Linked DNA regions of Caenorhabditis elegans. The protein of the gene in region 2 purifies or fractionates together with the protein of the main gene of each other region. This does not show direct contact. Each region holds a gene or a part of one and is shown on either strand. Other genes may lie near its edges. The genes, in order: wdr-48, usp-46 and wdr-20.

Region 1 (5,069 bases), 5.2 Mb from region 2:
TTCTTACAAATCAAAACTTTGATCTCGTCGGGAATATTTGGAACGGATGGAAATTGATAATTGACAGATTGAATTGCTAACGGTGATTCTTCGAAAGGAACACAGAAAAAGCATAGCCTGTATAGAAGAACGCCCAGTGCCCAGATATCAGATTTTAGGCCTGAAAAAATAAAGAATTCGACTTTTTCATTGCATTCCTTCAATTTTTTAATACTAAAAACGAACCAATCTCTAATCCACTGTAAAAATCAATCATTTCAGGCGATCGATAACACATAGTCGTATTCCTTTCCACTTCTGACTTCACATATTCTACTCCATACTTTTCCACAGATAAAATTTGAGTGGTAGCACTTCCAAAATCGCAGAGAACGTAATGTGGTGGTTTATGGGAAGAAATGAGTACATTTTCAACTTTTAAATCGCGATGAATGATAGGTTGTGGCCGATTATGAATGAAGGATACGGCTTCACAGAGATCCGTGAAAATTGAGAGAATCTCGTCGTTTGTTAAATATTGGTTTTGAGATATTCTTTCGTTCATCAATTGCAAGACGTTTTCTGGAAAAAATATGATGATTTTTCAAAGTTTTCCATGTTTTATTTAATATTTTAATTATGATTTATTTTCCGGTGTTATCTCACTCACTTTGATGATATTCTGTCAACAGCATGCATTCCCAAATACCATTTCCAAGGCAATTTGTATAACTGTCAACGAATTCCACAATATTTTTATGACCAATACATTGTTTCTGAAAGATCATACAACATTTGCAAGTTTATTCGAGCTTCTTCTCACCAGAAAACTGTGCTCTCTGCAACATGCCTCCAGCTGTTTCTCATTGTCTTTGGTGAATTGACGTTTCAAGGCGAATTTATTGTTTTTTCTATCGCTCGCAACGTAGACGATTGCAAATCCACCTGGAAGAAAAATATTGCGAAATATTCAGAAAAACAAGAACAATTATGGAGTTTAATAAGAGGATTAAATTTAAAAAACCTACCTTCGGCGATTTGCTTCTCTATAGTGACTCGTGTATGGTCTAACTTCAATGTGACACCTGAAAATTCAATTAAAAATGAAAGAAACTGTTAAATGTTCAAATACCTTTGCATTTATTCTCACTTAATTGTTTCGGTTCCTTTTTCTTGCCTCCAGGAATTTTTTCATCACACAGAACTTGTGCTTTTCCAGAGCTGAAAAGCCCTAGAGGCATGGCTTTTCGCCTGAAATTAGTAAATTTTAATAAAAGAGTTTCAATATTTGATGAGAGTGATATCGAAAAACGAAAAATTTTCATCAAAACTAGATTTTCTCGAGCGAACAAATTGATCGACAGGAGAAAAGAGTGTCGGAACGCAGGGAGGCGGGGCGCAATAATGGGCGTGGCTGAATTGCAAACATGCGGCGCAGTTTTTGTTGTCTTTTTCGCACAGAGCTCTTTTAAAACATGTTTTGTTGTTTTTATTGACAAAAGTCTATAATTTGCCGTATACTTTTGTTTTTCTTCATTTTTTTTTCTGAAAACCATCATAACATTCTATATAAGATACCGTTAATTAATTTTTTGCATTAAAAATAACTTTTTTCTCGCAAATCGATGAATCTTTTAACTAGAAATATTTGTCATCACTATTTTCCAGATCTCAAAAGGCGTTCAATGCAATAAAATGAGTAGCTGTGTAAATACCAGTCAAACTGGTCCAAAAAAGAAAATCTCATTTATCATTCGCGATGAGCACGAGTATTCAAATCGTTCGGCTGTCAGTGCTCTGCAATATGATGCACAAAACGGAAGACTGTTCACTGGCGGCAGTGACACTATAATCAGAACATGGTCAGTGCCACACCACAAGGTTTGATATATAAACTATGAATTCTAAAAAATACCGAATAAATTCATGATCAGGACGCTTTCTCGGCACGTGGCGGAGTTCGTTCGCCAGGAAAGAATTCTCCAGTTCAGTATCAAGGATCATTAGAACAGCATACCGATTGGGTGAACGATATGATTCTTTGTGGACATGGAAAAATTCGTGAGTGGTTTTGCGATATTTCTGCAAATTATATAAATATATTTCTTTCAGTAATTTCGGCCTCAAATGACACAACTGTCAAAGTTTGGAATATCGAACGGGACAACAAGCACGGATTTATCGATTGTATCCGAACTCACAAGGTTTGTGAAACTTTTCTCTTTAATTATTAAGAATGAATAAAATTCAGGACTACGTTAGTTGCTTGGCCTACGCACCGATTGTAGAGAAAGCTGTGAGCGCAAGTTTCGATCACAATATTTTCGTGTACGATATCAATGCTAACTTCAAAACTGTAAATAATCTAATTGGCTGCAAGGACAGCATCTACTCACTCGCCACAACTCCTAATTTATCGCTTGTTCTTGGTGCTGGAACGGAAAAGGTGAGGAATTTTAGCATTCTAGCCTTCTACTAGTTTTTATTTTCAGTGCATTCGCCTTTTCGATCCAAGAACCAATGAGAAAATAATGAAATTACGTGGTCACACAGATAATGTACGTGCGCTGGTGGTCAATGATGATGGAACACGCGCACTTTCTGCTGGATCAGATGCCACAATTCGACTGTGGGACATTGGACAACAGAGATGCATTGCCACGTGTATTGCTCATGAAGAAGGAGTTTGGACTCTTCAAGTACTGATCCTCTCTGATAAAATCTTATTAGAATCTATGATTTTTAGGTTGACTCATCGTTTACAACGGTTTACAGCGCAGGAAAGGACAAAATGGTTGTGAAAACTCCGTTATATGATTTCACTAAAAGTCAGCTTCTGTTCAAAGAAGAAGCCCCTGTGAAAAAGTTACTTTTAAGTGAAAAAGATAATCCAGTATCTCTTTGGGTCGGAACCTGGAAGTCTGATATCAAGCGGTAAAAGAATTATTTTATTAAAAAAATAAACTTTCAGTTTTCAGCTGGTCCATCCGCCCATCAGCCCAACTTTCGATTGGAGGAGACGAAGATGGTCCTTCAACTTCAAATGCAAATCACTCAGTATCAGCTTCATCATCACCTCCAGTAACATTCAAGTATATCCGAGTGAAGGATCAAAAAGGACAACAGAGCACACCAGAGCTCGTTATTCCTGGTAAACAGACTATATGCAGATATAATTTTTAATCTGTTTATTCAGGCGCTCCTGCCATCAAGAAACATGCCATGTTGAGCGACAAACGACACGTTTTGACACGAGACTCGGATGGAAATGTGGCGCTATATGATGTTTTAGCAGCAAGAAAGGTTTGTCCCCATTATTAAAAGTTACTACTTGAATTTTGATAAAATTTCAGATAAAAGATTATGGAAAGCGAATATTTGAAGAAGTTGTCGATGAGAACTCTAGGCAAGTATACATTCCAAGCTGGTTTGTCGTTGATTCAAAAAGTGGAGTGAGTTTTAAGTTTTATAAATTTTTGAAAAATAAAACCCTATTCGATTTCAGATGCTCCAAATCACTTTGGACGAGCTGGACGCTCTCTCCTCGTGGCTTTCATCAAAAGACGCAGGTTTTGATGATAATGATCGAGAGACAAAACGTAAGATATTATACGAAAATAAAAACTTTCTCATTCCTTTGTAAGAAATTATAGTGAATTACGGTGGAATGATGCTACGATCACTCTTCGAACGATGGCCACCTTGTAAAATGACAAATGTTGATGCAGCTGATGCAGATGATGTGCAAAAAGCAACACTGAATTTTATTTCTCTACCGGAACACACACCGCTTATTATTTGGTAAAATTATTTGAAGGCTCAAATTTTAAACATTAAAAAAACTAATTTCAGCGAAGGAAATGGTCGTCCGCTCTACCGTCTTCTTGTTGGCGACGCTGGGAAGGAGTTCGAAGCAAATGAGCTGGCACAAATTGCACCCATGTGGGTTATAGACGCAATCGAACGAAATCAGCTGCCGAAATTCAATAAAATGCCATTTTATCTTCTTCCACATCCGTCGACAAATCCCAAACAGCCTAAAAAGTTTGTGAAAACGCGGGGTTCATTCATTAAAATTTTGAACTATTTTCAGAGATCGTCTGTCAGCAACTGAAATGCTTCAAGTTAAGAAAGTGATGGAGCATGTTTACGAAAAAATACTCAGCACTAATGATGGTAAGGTATTTAGAAATAAGAAGATATTAATGGTGTTTGAAGATATTACAGTTGGCTCGATTCCACTAAATCAAATTCATACAAAAATGGAAATGTACTGCAATGATCAGAGGTTGGAGCCGGATATGGATTTGCGAACAGTCAAGCATCTCTATTGGAAGCAAAGTGGAGAGCTTCTTCTACATTATAAACCAGTTAAATAGCTTTAACATTTAATTTAAGTTATTTATTTGAACATACTTATCTAACATTTGTACTTTATTGAAAATTCACTGTCTAACTTCTTTTTTGATACGGGTAAAACCGACTTTCAATTAAATTCCATGCTCTTTCCATATGTCTTTCTTTCTTTTTTAAAATTATGATGGTTTAACTACCAGCTTATCTTCATTTCTTGCTTAATATTTTTACCTCCTACCGTATTCGTTCCAGATGGCTAGTTTGGAAGAACATGAAAAACTGATCGAAGTAGGTTTTATTGAAATTTCTTCCAATTTTAAGCCAATTTTTTTCAGGAGTGGAGAAACGATTACATCGCAGAACGCAGTTCGAAAAAGGGATGGGAGATTCTGGAAAAACTTGCAAAGATGCAAATTGAAGCGGCTCAGCAAATGGAGTACGTTAAATGAATATCAGATAGTATCAAAATGAAATTATTTCAGAACAGAAGATGACGTGGCCGCTGCTGATTTTGATGACTTCAGCACCAGCAAGCTTGTAAAATTGATTATTGGAGATATTTCAACCAAAGATCTTCTTGTCGATCATCAGGTACCTGACATCAATTTTTAGACTATTCTAATCTAATAAAAAAAAATTCTAATAAAAATTGTAATATCTCAATCTTTTACAGATAATTCTTCTCGAATTCATTCCATCTGCACATCCGAATATTCTTCGCCATGTAGTCCGCA
Region 2 (4,450 bases):
TAGATTCGTCAAACTTTTCAGACTTTTTGGCAGTTTTGGCAAATTACCAAAGTTTTGATGCTTAAATGAAATAGATTTATTAACAATTAATTTTTCAACAAAAATTAAATTTATGGAATTCGATAGAGAAAAACGAGCGAATAGGAAACAAGAGAAGACATTTTTTTAAAATACTTTTTATTAGAACACTAAAAACACAGCGAGTTATCAGATCTTCTTGAATAGGAAAAGTTCATCAGTCCTGATCGTATCCAAATTCACCTTGTTCTCGTAGAACTCCACTTCATCGGCGACTCGTGTCCATCCACCTTCCTCTCTTATCCAAGCAAATGATTGAAACGAGGTTGGGGTCTCCACAGTCTGCGTGAACCCAACGAGCAGAAAGTTGTGGCCCACGAAGTCCATCGGATTGGTGGTAGACATTTCCATCGGTTGATCATCGTGCTTATACACTCGAATCCATAGATACTCCGAGTTGTATTCGGTGAAGTCTAGGCGACGGTTCTGCTTTCCACTGTGACTGACTGCAGGATGATGCTTCCGTCATTTTTGTTGTTTCGACTGCATGCAATCCAAGAATGTTTGGCCGATCTTCAAATTGCACAAGACGTACGGAATGCTGGTGGATGTCGAACTTGTGTATGGGCTGCATCCTCCTGTGCGATTCACGAAGTTATAGGTGATCGGGAAGCGAAACAGAGCCCGAGCTTCTGTTCCTTTCCTGCACTCAGTAGAGATGTCCTGAAAGTTAAAATTATATTAATTTGTTAGTGTTCTGAGTAGGTATTGTACATCATATCAGAACAGGTGTATGTTCTGTATATTCTCTGTTAGTGCTGCATCTCCAGTAGCACGTGGTGTCAGAATGTCCCATAGTGGTTTGATCTACTTAGATCTACAAAAAAAGCGGGAATTTAGACGCAAAGTTCTCGACTGATTTTGCATGGTTAAGAACGTCTGACGTCACATCTTTTGAGCAAAAAAATCGCCGCATTTTTTGTAGATCAAACCGTAATGGGACAGCCCGATACCACGTTTCAACTTGTGCATCGAATGAAAAGGCGTGGTTTGGAATCTAGTTGATTTTTTGAGTTCAAAATCGAATTTTGAACAATTTTAATTTCTGTTTCAGATCAGATAACCAGATGCCTGCAGATAGAACGTCATGCCACTCCACGTTTCGCCATTTTCAAAGTTATTCATTCGATAGTGTCTCTTCCGTGGCGGCAATTTGAACTTTTATCGAGAAGGTGCTAATGCGCTCTAGCGTACACTCATATTTAATTTATTTTAACGATTTTTCAATTCATTTTTTATCGATTATTTGTTTATTTAGAAGTTAAAAGCTATTTCAAGGTTTCAAATCAGTAAAATAACTAATGAACATTTTTAAAATCACAATTTTATTTTATTTTTGTACTTTCCATCTCTCTTGATTGGTCTTGTTCGGGTAGTTCTTCTTCTAATACTTATTTTAAATATTTTAAGGTTTTTAAGGCTGCAAAATTTAGCGAAACACACTGCAAACGTATGGGAATACTTGTAGAACAGCAAATCTGAGAGACGGAGAGACGGCGAAAGAAAAAAAGAGAGATGGCTGTGTTCTCTCTCATCGCTATTGCCCACACTCTCTGTCTCCCCTTCTTTGCCCCCTCTTTATCGTTCTATTTCACGTTGTTCCGCTAGTAACCGTTATTCTGAAAATCTGTTTTTTTCTTGTAGCTGTTGGCACACTCAATGGGAGCTACTGGATCATCACAACTGGAAAAGGAGATCAGTACCACTGAGTCAGTTAATAATGCCAATGAACACTATTACGGGCTAGTAAATGTCAGTGGAATTTATCGAGTTTATCGAGTTTAATTCTTTTTTATTCAGTTTGGAAATACATGTTACTGCAACTCAGTGATTCAGGCGTTGTTCTTCTGCCGGCCGTTTCGAGAAAAAGTTCTCAATTACAAGCAAACTTTGAAGAAATCGGGTTAGTATTTAAAAATTCTATTTAGAAAAATCATTAAAGTAAAATTTAATTTTGTCAGGCGCTTCAAAGGACAACTTGGTTACGTGTCTAGCTGATCTATTTCATAGTATTGCCAGTCAAAAACGAAGAGTAGGAACAATTGCTCCAAAACGATTTATTACTAAATTAAAGAAAGAAAATGGTGAGGTTTTTTTTAAAAATTATTTTTCCAATAATCAGACTATTAGTTTAATTTTATAGAGCTCTTCGACAACTACATGCAACAAGACGCTCACGAATTTTTCAATTATCTCATTAATACAATATCGGAGACACTAATTCAAGAGAAAATCGCAGAACGAGAGAAAGCGTCTCGCCACGGAACACTCAAAAAAGGAAATGTCACAGTTAATTTGGCACCTGCCACTGCGGGTCTTCCACGATCAGATGAAAAAGGAACGAGTGAACGAAATGGTGGAATTACGGTGGAAGGCAACGAGTTTTTGAATAAATCTGACACTACTACGTGGATTCATGAAATATTTCAAGGAATTTTGACAAATGAGACGAGGTGTTTGAGTTGTGAAACTGTGTCAAGTAAAGATGAAGATTTTCTGGATTTATCGATTGATGTGGAACAGAATACTTCAATTAGCCATTGTCTACGGGTATTTAGTGAAACGGAGACACTTTGTGGTGATCAGGTATTTAATTTGATCTTTTTGGAAGAAATTTTTAACAAAATGAGCCAATTTGGCATAGTCTCTCAATATTTTTCATTGAAATTCAGTGACAAAACATTGCAAAAATAATTGCTTTATCTCAAATTCGAAAACAAGAAAAACTATCAAAAATTGCGAAAATTTTTGATAATTTGATCGAACTTGTTTTATCATATATTTAAAAATCACAAATAGTTTCTCTTAAATTTAATTCTCTTTTATTTCAGAAATATTTCTGCGAAACGTGCTCGTCGAAACAGGAAGCTCAAAAGCGAATGCGAATCAAGAAACCTCCTCAACTGCTGGCTCTCCATCTGAAACGATTTAAATTCGTCGAACCTCTGAATCGACACACAAAGCTTTCTTATCGAGTTGTATTTCCACTGGAATTGCGGCTATTCAATGTGGTTCGTAAATATTTGACTGAAAAATACGGTTCCCGGTCTCGACTCGACAATTTTAAATGCAAAAAGGCGTCCGCCCCTTTAAAGAGTACTGTCATTTAAAATTTTGCGTATTTTTTACTGATTTCCGACAAATTTAAAGAAAGAAAAAACTAAGTAAAAATTATAAAAACTCCGCAGCAACGAAATTTCAAAACTACAGTATCCCCTGTTTAATTTCTGCATTCAACAAAAATTGCCGTGTCGAGACCACGTCTTTCCTCCGCAGCATAATAATGATCAAATTTTCAGAGCGATGATGCTGAATACGGTGATCGGATGTATGACCTGGTCGCAACAGTGGTTCATTGTGGAGCTACTCCAAATCGAGGTCATTATATCACTTTGGTGAAGAGCAATTCGTTTTGGCTGGTATTTGATGATGATATTGTTGAAAAACTGGAAGTTTCATCAATGGAAGAGTTCTCTGGAATGTCCACGGATGCAAATATTCAAATGCCACCTGGAAATCAATCAGCTCCTCAAAAGAATTCCGAATCTGCCTATATTCTGTTCTATCAGGCAAGAGACTACGCTGCTGATGATCCAAATCATAATCATAAAGGAAAAAATAGTACACACTCCGTCTAGTGAATAATTTATAAATTGTTTAATAATTTCATCCCGAGACTCTTCTGAAACGAGTAAAAGCTTACCTTCCGATTTTTCATCAATTGTCGCTGTTACAATTTGTTGACCATAGTACTATAGTTTCATACAATTTTCTATCACACTATCTCTCCACTTTGCTGTTATGTAAATTTTTCTTTTTTTTAAAACTTGTAATCATTTGTATATTTTATGGATAAATTATTCTAGAATTTGAAAGGCACTTGGAAAATTAAATTAAACCGATTAAATCTTTTTGAAAAATCACAAATGAGAACCCGAATGAGGGGGAGACCCGCGTACAAAAAAGTAAGAAAAGGCACTGAATAACTGGGGGGAAAGACTGGAAAAAATGAAAATTGCAAAACTGGAATGAGGATAACAATAAATAAATGATATAATATTATGGACTATGATTTGCAATAAGGTGTCCAATTCAGATCGCAGTGTAAGGCGACATTGATAATGGTAACTGAAGTTCCAGAAAAGTCGAGGAGTTGGCGACTATCGATGAGGTAGCGGACGTCGTGGAGACCGGATACCTGGAATTTTTCTAATAGGAAATTAAATATTTATTTATTCAGATGGGTCTTGCCACGAGACCGTAATTTTAAAGGCACACACTGTGTTTTGATTAGTGGGTCTCGCCGCGATCTCAGCTACAGTAAGTTAAAATTTTTCTCAAGGTTTTTTTTTTTGAATAATTCAGGAAAAAT
Region 3 (6,278 bases), on a different chromosome or scaffold from region 2:
AAGTTTCACATTGCGGTTCAAATTATAAAGAAAATTGTATGATGCCGCCCATTTCTGAAAACAACGTTCATAAGATATGTATAATTCGAATTAATTACAAACCGTCATCTTTGAATTATCAACCGAAGCGTCGTAGAGAAAATTCATACCAATTTCTTCTGTATCAACAAGCCGATGATCAACTAAATGCATCTCGTCAACACCAGCGAGTGACAGAGTTTTTGCCACTTCCGCACCAAGCTGTTTTCCACCAATAATCAAAACTTTAGAGTTTCGGATTCTGAAAACGAAACAATAGTATTTTATTCGAAAAAATTTAAACTTACTTATTTTGAGCTTCCATTCCCCATAAACGAATTTGTCGATCGTAAATCGCCTGTTCAGCTTTGCTGACCTCCATATTTTCTTTTGCTTCGGACATTCTGCAAATTATGGCAATCACAAAAAATATGAAAACATTTAGCAAAAATGGTTAATATGAACGGCAAGGTGAACCGAATAAAATCGAGAAGAAGTAAAATAACGATATTTAAATAAATACACAATTCATTAGACCAGAAATTAAACAACGAGAATGAAACGGGGTGAGTTTTAGGGTGAAGAAAAACTAGGCACATGGATCCTACTGGCACAGTAATATAGAAAATTAAATCTGCGAAGTTGGAACGTTAAGTCATTAATAAAAGAAAAATGTGAGCAGGTGATCATAGTTTGCAAACAATGGCAAACAACTTTGCCGGGCTTTACAATTAGAAATAATCCAGAAAAATCATGTTACAGTATACATCCTAAAGATCAGAGCATTACGCTTGACGACAATAAATAAGATTAAGTGAACAATAAAAAAGAATAAGAACCTAGTAAAGAAAATTTAAGATACCCGAAGTGGAGTGGTTAATTTGCATTCTGCCAGGCATATGTTGGGCGATGATAAACAGAAGTACTGGCAGCTGAAACCCGGTATGACGGGGATGTGATATTCGGTGAACGAAGTTGTTGTTCGCCTAAGTAACTTGGAAAACTTTTAGAGACATTTTCTTAGATTAAATAAACTCACTATTACTGTAGGTACTTGATGATCGTGAAGGTGGAACTCCATTCAAAGCATCTGAGCCGTATCCATATGAAGAAGTCATAGCGGACGTAGATCCAGATGGTTTTTGACCTGATTCCGGACTTGCTGTTCCTGGTGAATTGATGCAATCTCGTTTTGGTTGATATCTGCCGGGGCGGCCCCATGTGCAGATATATCCCTCTTGACAAGCAGTCACAACACAATCTTCTCGGAATTCAAGAACTGTCAGACGATCATGCGATACTTTTTTGCACATTAACGGTTCTGAAAAATATTTCACAAGTGCTTTCTCGTTCATTTTGTCTTTTTTTTCGTGATAGAAAAATGATTCAAAAATTTCGCGATTTTCCGGATCTGACTAGTGAATCGTATTTTAATTTTAAGTATAAGCTTACCGATCATAGGAACATCTCGAATCCCTGGACAAAATTTAGAACCCAACATCCGCGTTTCGTTACAGCAGCTTATTTGAGAAATTAGCCCGGGGTTTTGTTTCTTGGAACTGAAAATTAACATATTATTATAAATTCTGAATAAATCGACATACCTTTCAGAATTTACTGATGCACCATTCATCAATGTGCCAATTTTGTGGCCACCAACCGGATTTGATGTAGCACTGGAGCTTCCAGAAGTAAACTTCGAAAATCCTAGACGTTTTGTAAATTTCTTCTTTTTTTGTTTTTCTGGGCGAGGAGTTGTGTGATTATTAGTTATAGACTGTGAATCAGAAGATGCATTAACACCAGCACCACCAGGAGAGACTTCCTGAAGATCTTCAAGTCTTCCAACTAGAGAATTCGTCTGTACTTCGAGGGTAGTCATTGGGGCAATTATTGTTGAATTTCGATGACGTCGAATGTTTCCTTGGTTCAACATATCTTCTGTTATATCCCACAGGCATAGAAATGTGTCGTGTCCAACACTTCCTATTCGATAACGGACACTGTTTCCAGCTGGAGCTCCGTTGATAGTGTTAAACGAAGCAAGTGAACAACGAGAGAATGTTGAAGTTGCATTCATCACTCCAGAATTCAAATCTGCACTAGTAGATGGTACTGGTCCCGAACGTATTGAGAAATCCTTTGCAACGTCGTCAAACGTAGATGTCATCGCAATACCATTATTTTCCAGATCTTCTTCGGTTGTGCATAAATAAGGATCAAACTTGACCTGACTAACCCAACTTTTGTGAGCTTGTCCTCTGCAAACTACTCGTTTCTCAGCTACACTATAAACTGTTAGAAGATCATCTTCGCCGCCAGTGGCAATCAATTTTGCATCAGGGCTCCATGAGAGCGTAAGCAATCCACCTTAAATTTCATGAATATTTGATTTTTTTCGAAGATAATGAACCAACCGAAATATGATTTCATAACTGCCAGCAATTCTTGTGCATGATAATTGAAAATCCTGAGGAACCCATCATGTGACACCGTGGCCATCATTTTCCCATCTGATCCAGAGAAACTGAACTGGTGAATTGAACCTTCTCCAATTTGCCACCTGGTAACTGGATTCCGCTGAACTTTGCCTTTCCACGTGTGAATCGCGAACTTGTCACCCTGCAAAATCAATATAAATATATGCTTCCAATTTTAGAAACAAAAAGAAACCTCTTTATGAATAGTCCACGGCGGAGGCTGTGAGCTTCCATTATTGTTGCTACTCGCAGCAGAAATTCTTTGGTCATATACATAAAGATTGCCCGACACATATGACGCCAAGAAAATGTTTGAATCGCCTGAATAAAATATTATTGAAAACGAGTTTGTTTCTATTACTTACCAGGTAGCCAGCGGATACATGTGACGGAAGTTTTTTCGATGTATCTATCTTCATTGTACAGTCTGCTGAACGGTGATGATGATGATTTTTCTAGTGGGTCGATGATTTGTAATTGACCGAGAGTGAACCCTATTAGCAGCCTGAAAAGTATTAAATAATTTTGGAAACAATAATTTTGTCAATCGGTCATTATAGTATGTAAGGAAATGTATAAAATTAGCTCCAACGTTTGATAAACTTACTGGCATGATCCATTTTTAGCCGATTCCTGGTTAAAAGCATGATAAGTCGGTGAAGTACCTTTATAAACTCTCTTGTCGATCGGTCGAGATAAATCAGTTTCAGTTTGAGTTCCTCTGAAAAACAATAAAGTTTAAAGCTATCGATGAATAATCTAACCTATACGAGAACACATAAAGTTCTTTTCCAACATTGAAGCAAATCTTGTCAGCCTGTGCCTCATCCACCTATAAGTACAAGCATTCTTCAAGGTTGGGAGTTATCTTTTTGTCTGATAAAATCTACGATGTCTTGCAGAAAAAAATCTCACCATGTCTATTCGTGCTCCATTCGGCTCATTTTTATGGTGTTCGTAAGTTGAACTAGTTGGTGCCACAGCCTCGGGAGATTCCACACTTTTCTCTGCGCCATTGAGAAAGCTTACACGAACAGTAGAGCCCGCAGCTGCTATCTGACTTGCAGCAGCCGATGCGATTCCCGGTGGCATGTGGTACTGTGGAAGGGGCCGAGGACGCGAGAATTCGGCCGATGGGACGCTCCGATAGACACCTTCTCGCGTCTCGAAGTTTTTCTTTATCTCTTCTCGTGTAGGTTGAGAATGGGAAAGAAGGACACCTGCAAAAAAGCATTTATGGAAAAGTTTACCATTTGGCATGCATTTTATAATCTAGTGGATGCATCTTCGAAACGTTTTTTAATGAGGAACACTACTTATCGGAATTTGCAAAGAAACCTCAGAGGATTGAATTCGTCGATATTTAGAGATTGTCTAGATTGTCCTTTGAACTTTTTTCAATCTCATGAGACCTTATTAATCTAAAGCAATGACAGTAATGACATAATCATAAAAATTGATCAACATACTTTTCAAGCCTTTAAAAAACTTACCTTCGGAAAGAACAGAAGATTGAAGAGCAGAATTATTAGTACCACCTAGCGAAGTTGACGGTCCAAGCATATGCTGATGCATCATCGTGTGAAACCAGTCTTCAAAAAACTTTAATACAACGATGACAAAATGATTTTCACAGGGGAACATTGCGAAATTTTAAAACCTTCATTTAAGTATGACTTTAATACAAACCTTAGCTTTGAGAATATTCGCGACATTCCGCATTTCAAGCCCGTCTGCTCATCCTTAAATTTGTCAATAAAGCAGAATTGTCAAATATCTGGAAAACTCGTTTTCAGAACAGATGACGGCTTTTGAGTTTGGGGTTTTAAGAGAAAAGAGAAACAATTCCAGAGGGGCAAAACACAGATTAAAAATGTTTCCAGGAAAAAAACAAGTTTTCAGAAAACGGGAATCAGAAGATAGAAGGAAGACACTGTTAAAGTTTGATATTTCATACCGTTGAATGCGTCGCGGCTCTAAACGCTACGCATGTCTGACGGAGCGCACTTGCACTTAATTTCTTTGTGTTGAATTTTTATCCGTTTTTCTTGAAAGTTTTTCTGGATGTAAAATGTTTTTTTGAGAAAAATTAACAATTCATAGTGAATTAATTTATATTTATTAAATGTTAAACTCTAAATTTCGATACCTACATGTTATCTGTTCTTTTTTACGCATTTGGAAACGCGGGTATTTAATATATTATGAAAAACAGTCTACGTATTGCCTAATATGATTATTTTTCCTCATCTTCATCCGCAATGTTTTCAGAGTGCATGCTAGGAGCTCTTTTAAAGTCAATCAATATACCTATCAGCCGACGCGCAATGTCTACACTCTACCATACCTGTGACAAAATCGAGCAACGAATCATTTGGATCGACTGTGAAATGACAGGCCTGGACGTTGAAAAGCAGGTTAGTTTTTTGTATTTTTTAAGAACTTTGTTAATCGATAAAACTTTTTCAGACACTCTGTGAGATTGCTTTGATCGTGACAGACTCAGAATTGAATACAATTGCGACTGGGCCAGATATTGTTATTCATCAGCCAAAAGAAGTTCTTGACAACATGGAAGAATGGCCAAGAAATACGTTTCATGAAAATGGTTTAATGGAAAAAATAATTGCAAGCAAGTACTCAATGGCTGATGCTGAAAACGAAGTGATCGATTTTCTCAAATTGCACGCTCTTCCCGGTAAGACAACTATTTTTCAAAAATAGAGTAGCCAATGGAATTTATTCAAAACGATAATAAACATTTATTTAGAAACTTACCCTCGAAGTTTATAAGATATAGAATTTTAAATAATAAGAAAGTTATGTAGGAGCTGAGCGTCCTTATTTTCTTTATAAATATCGGCAAATCTGCATTTTCCTCTCTTAAATCGCGTGTGTGCCACGGGTAGGTGTTTTTGAAAAAACTTTGGACATCCGATGTCGCGCAAACCTTCGTTTTTTTTTTCATTTTTGATGTGTCCAAGTTGGCAACGCTTATAGCTCAGCGCTGGATGGATGAAAATTCGAGCTCTTTTTTTTCATCTCTTCAAAAAGGCTTTTCCTACTTTTTGTTTTTTACCGTTTCTCGATCTGAGCTCATTGAGCCGAGATATTTTGAGTCAAACTCAAAAATCGCTATTTTTCCTCATTTTCCGGTGGTTTTAATTGAAGGAAAATTCGAATATTTGAGATTATTTCACGATTTTTTAGGGGTGTATACAACTCGACCAGCTCTTTCCAACGTGTATTTTGAAAAAATTCTACGACTCTTTTAAGCTATAGAAGTGGGCTCTTTAGTGTGAAATCGAAAATTACATTTTTATTGGTGTGCAAATTAGCGATTTTTGATGGTTTTTCGGCCATAAGTCGGTCAGTTTGGCACTTTTTGGGGTAAATTTTTCGAAAAACGTATTTTTCAGGAAATTGTCTCTTCAAAAATATAATTTTTTTTACAAAAAAGTCAAAAATAACTTCAGAAATCGCAAATTTCATGATTTTCTCTAAAAAATGACGTTTTTGCTGGAAAAATAAAAAATTTTCCACTACCGAATGGGATTTTATGTTAAATTCGTAATTAGTACATAAATGCCGAATGGATGCTGAAAGCACAGCTCTCTACGACCATTTTCCACGATTTTAGTTTATTTAATTTTTGACCTCGAAATTTCAATTTCCCTCTTTTCCTGGACCAGTTTTTCACTGAAATGTGAATGTTATGTCCTAAATCTTATTATTTTTGCTATGAGAAGCGAGACAAACAAAAAGTTTTTGGCCATGAGT

What was found.
Region 1: the proteins of usp-46 (region 2) and wdr-48 purify together in Caenorhabditis elegans (affinity purification with western blotting, with the first as the bait; one study listed by BioGRID). This does not show direct contact.
Region 3: the proteins of usp-46 (region 2) and wdr-20 purify together in Caenorhabditis elegans (affinity purification with western blotting, with the first as the bait; one study listed by BioGRID). This does not show direct contact.

What each region holds. Positions count from the first base shown.
Region 1 is NC_003281.10:4,577,208-4,582,276, forward strand, and holds wdr-48 (WD repeat-containing protein 48 homolog), read left to right. Parts: upstream 1-1,674; coding exon 1,675-1,860; intron 1,861-1,913; coding exon 1,914-2,040; intron 2,041-2,091; coding exon 2,092-2,183; intron 2,184-2,230; coding exon 2,231-2,425; intron 2,426-2,471; coding exon 2,472-2,678; intron 2,679-2,725; coding exon 2,726-2,913; intron 2,914-2,957; coding exon 2,958-3,130; intron 3,131-3,175; coding exon 3,176-3,282; intron 3,283-3,332; coding exon 3,333-3,431; intron 3,432-3,484; coding exon 3,485-3,578; intron 3,579-3,632; coding exon 3,633-3,780; intron 3,781-3,831; coding exon 3,832-4,023; intron 4,024-4,072; coding exon 4,073-4,358; 3' UTR 4,359-4,479; downstream 4,480-5,069. Other genes in the region: Serine/threonine-protein kinase sel-5, read right to left, coding at 8-160, 226-561, 650-755, 803-924, 1,008-1,064, 1,112-1,220; F35G12.12 (26S proteasome non-ATPase regulatory subunit 5), read left to right, coding at 4,588-4,623, 4,671-4,771, 4,818-4,926, 5,009-5,069. UniProt on the Caenorhabditis elegans protein: Together with wdr-20, binds to and stimulates the activity of the deubiquitinating enzyme usp-46, leading to deubiquitination and stabilization of the glr-1 glutamate receptor.
Region 2 is NC_003281.10:9,774,901-9,779,350, forward strand, and holds usp-46 (Ubiquitin carboxyl-terminal hydrolase 46), read left to right. Parts: upstream 1-1,722; 5' UTR 1,723-1,737; coding exon 1,738-1,830; intron 1,831-1,878; coding exon 1,879-1,981; intron 1,982-2,039; coding exon 2,040-2,162; intron 2,163-2,221; coding exon 2,222-2,664; intron 2,665-2,909; coding exon 2,910-3,089; intron 3,090-3,377; coding exon 3,378-3,716; 3' UTR 3,717-3,950; downstream 3,951-4,450. Other genes in the region: sqv-3 (Xylosylprotein 4-beta-galactosyltransferase), read right to left, coding at 4,145-4,276. UniProt on the Caenorhabditis elegans protein: Regulates the abundance of the glr-1 glutamate receptor in the ventral nerve cord by promoting its deubiquitination and preventing its degradation in the lysosome. Contributes to the regulation of embryonic polarity.
Region 3 is NC_003283.11:10,129,874-10,136,151, forward strand, and holds wdr-20 (WD repeat-containing protein 20 homolog), read right to left. Parts: upstream 4,278-6,278; 5' UTR 4,255-4,277; coding exon of another isoform or gene 4,222-4,254; 5' UTR 4,188-4,221; intron 4,091-4,187; 5' UTR 4,074-4,090; coding exon 3,992-4,073; intron 3,719-3,991; coding exon 3,414-3,718; intron 3,331-3,413; coding exon 3,263-3,330; intron 3,220-3,262; coding exon 3,106-3,219; intron 3,004-3,105; coding exon 2,864-3,003; intron 2,820-2,863; coding exon 2,692-2,819; intron 2,641-2,691; coding exon 2,436-2,640; intron 2,389-2,435; coding exon 1,623-2,388; intron 1,578-1,622; coding exon 1,471-1,577; intron 1,340-1,470; coding exon 1,058-1,339; intron 1,022-1,057; coding exon of another isoform or gene 1,005-1,021; coding exon 895-1,004; 3' UTR 532-894; downstream 1-531. Other genes in the region: SUMO-activating enzyme subunit aos-1, read right to left, coding at 1-54, 103-280, 327-421; C08B6.8 (putative oligoribonuclease), read left to right, coding at 4,826-4,915, 4,968-5,196. UniProt on the Caenorhabditis elegans protein: Together with wdr-48, binds to and stimulates the activity of the deubiquitinating enzyme usp-46, leading to deubiquitination and stabilization of the glr-1 glutamate receptor.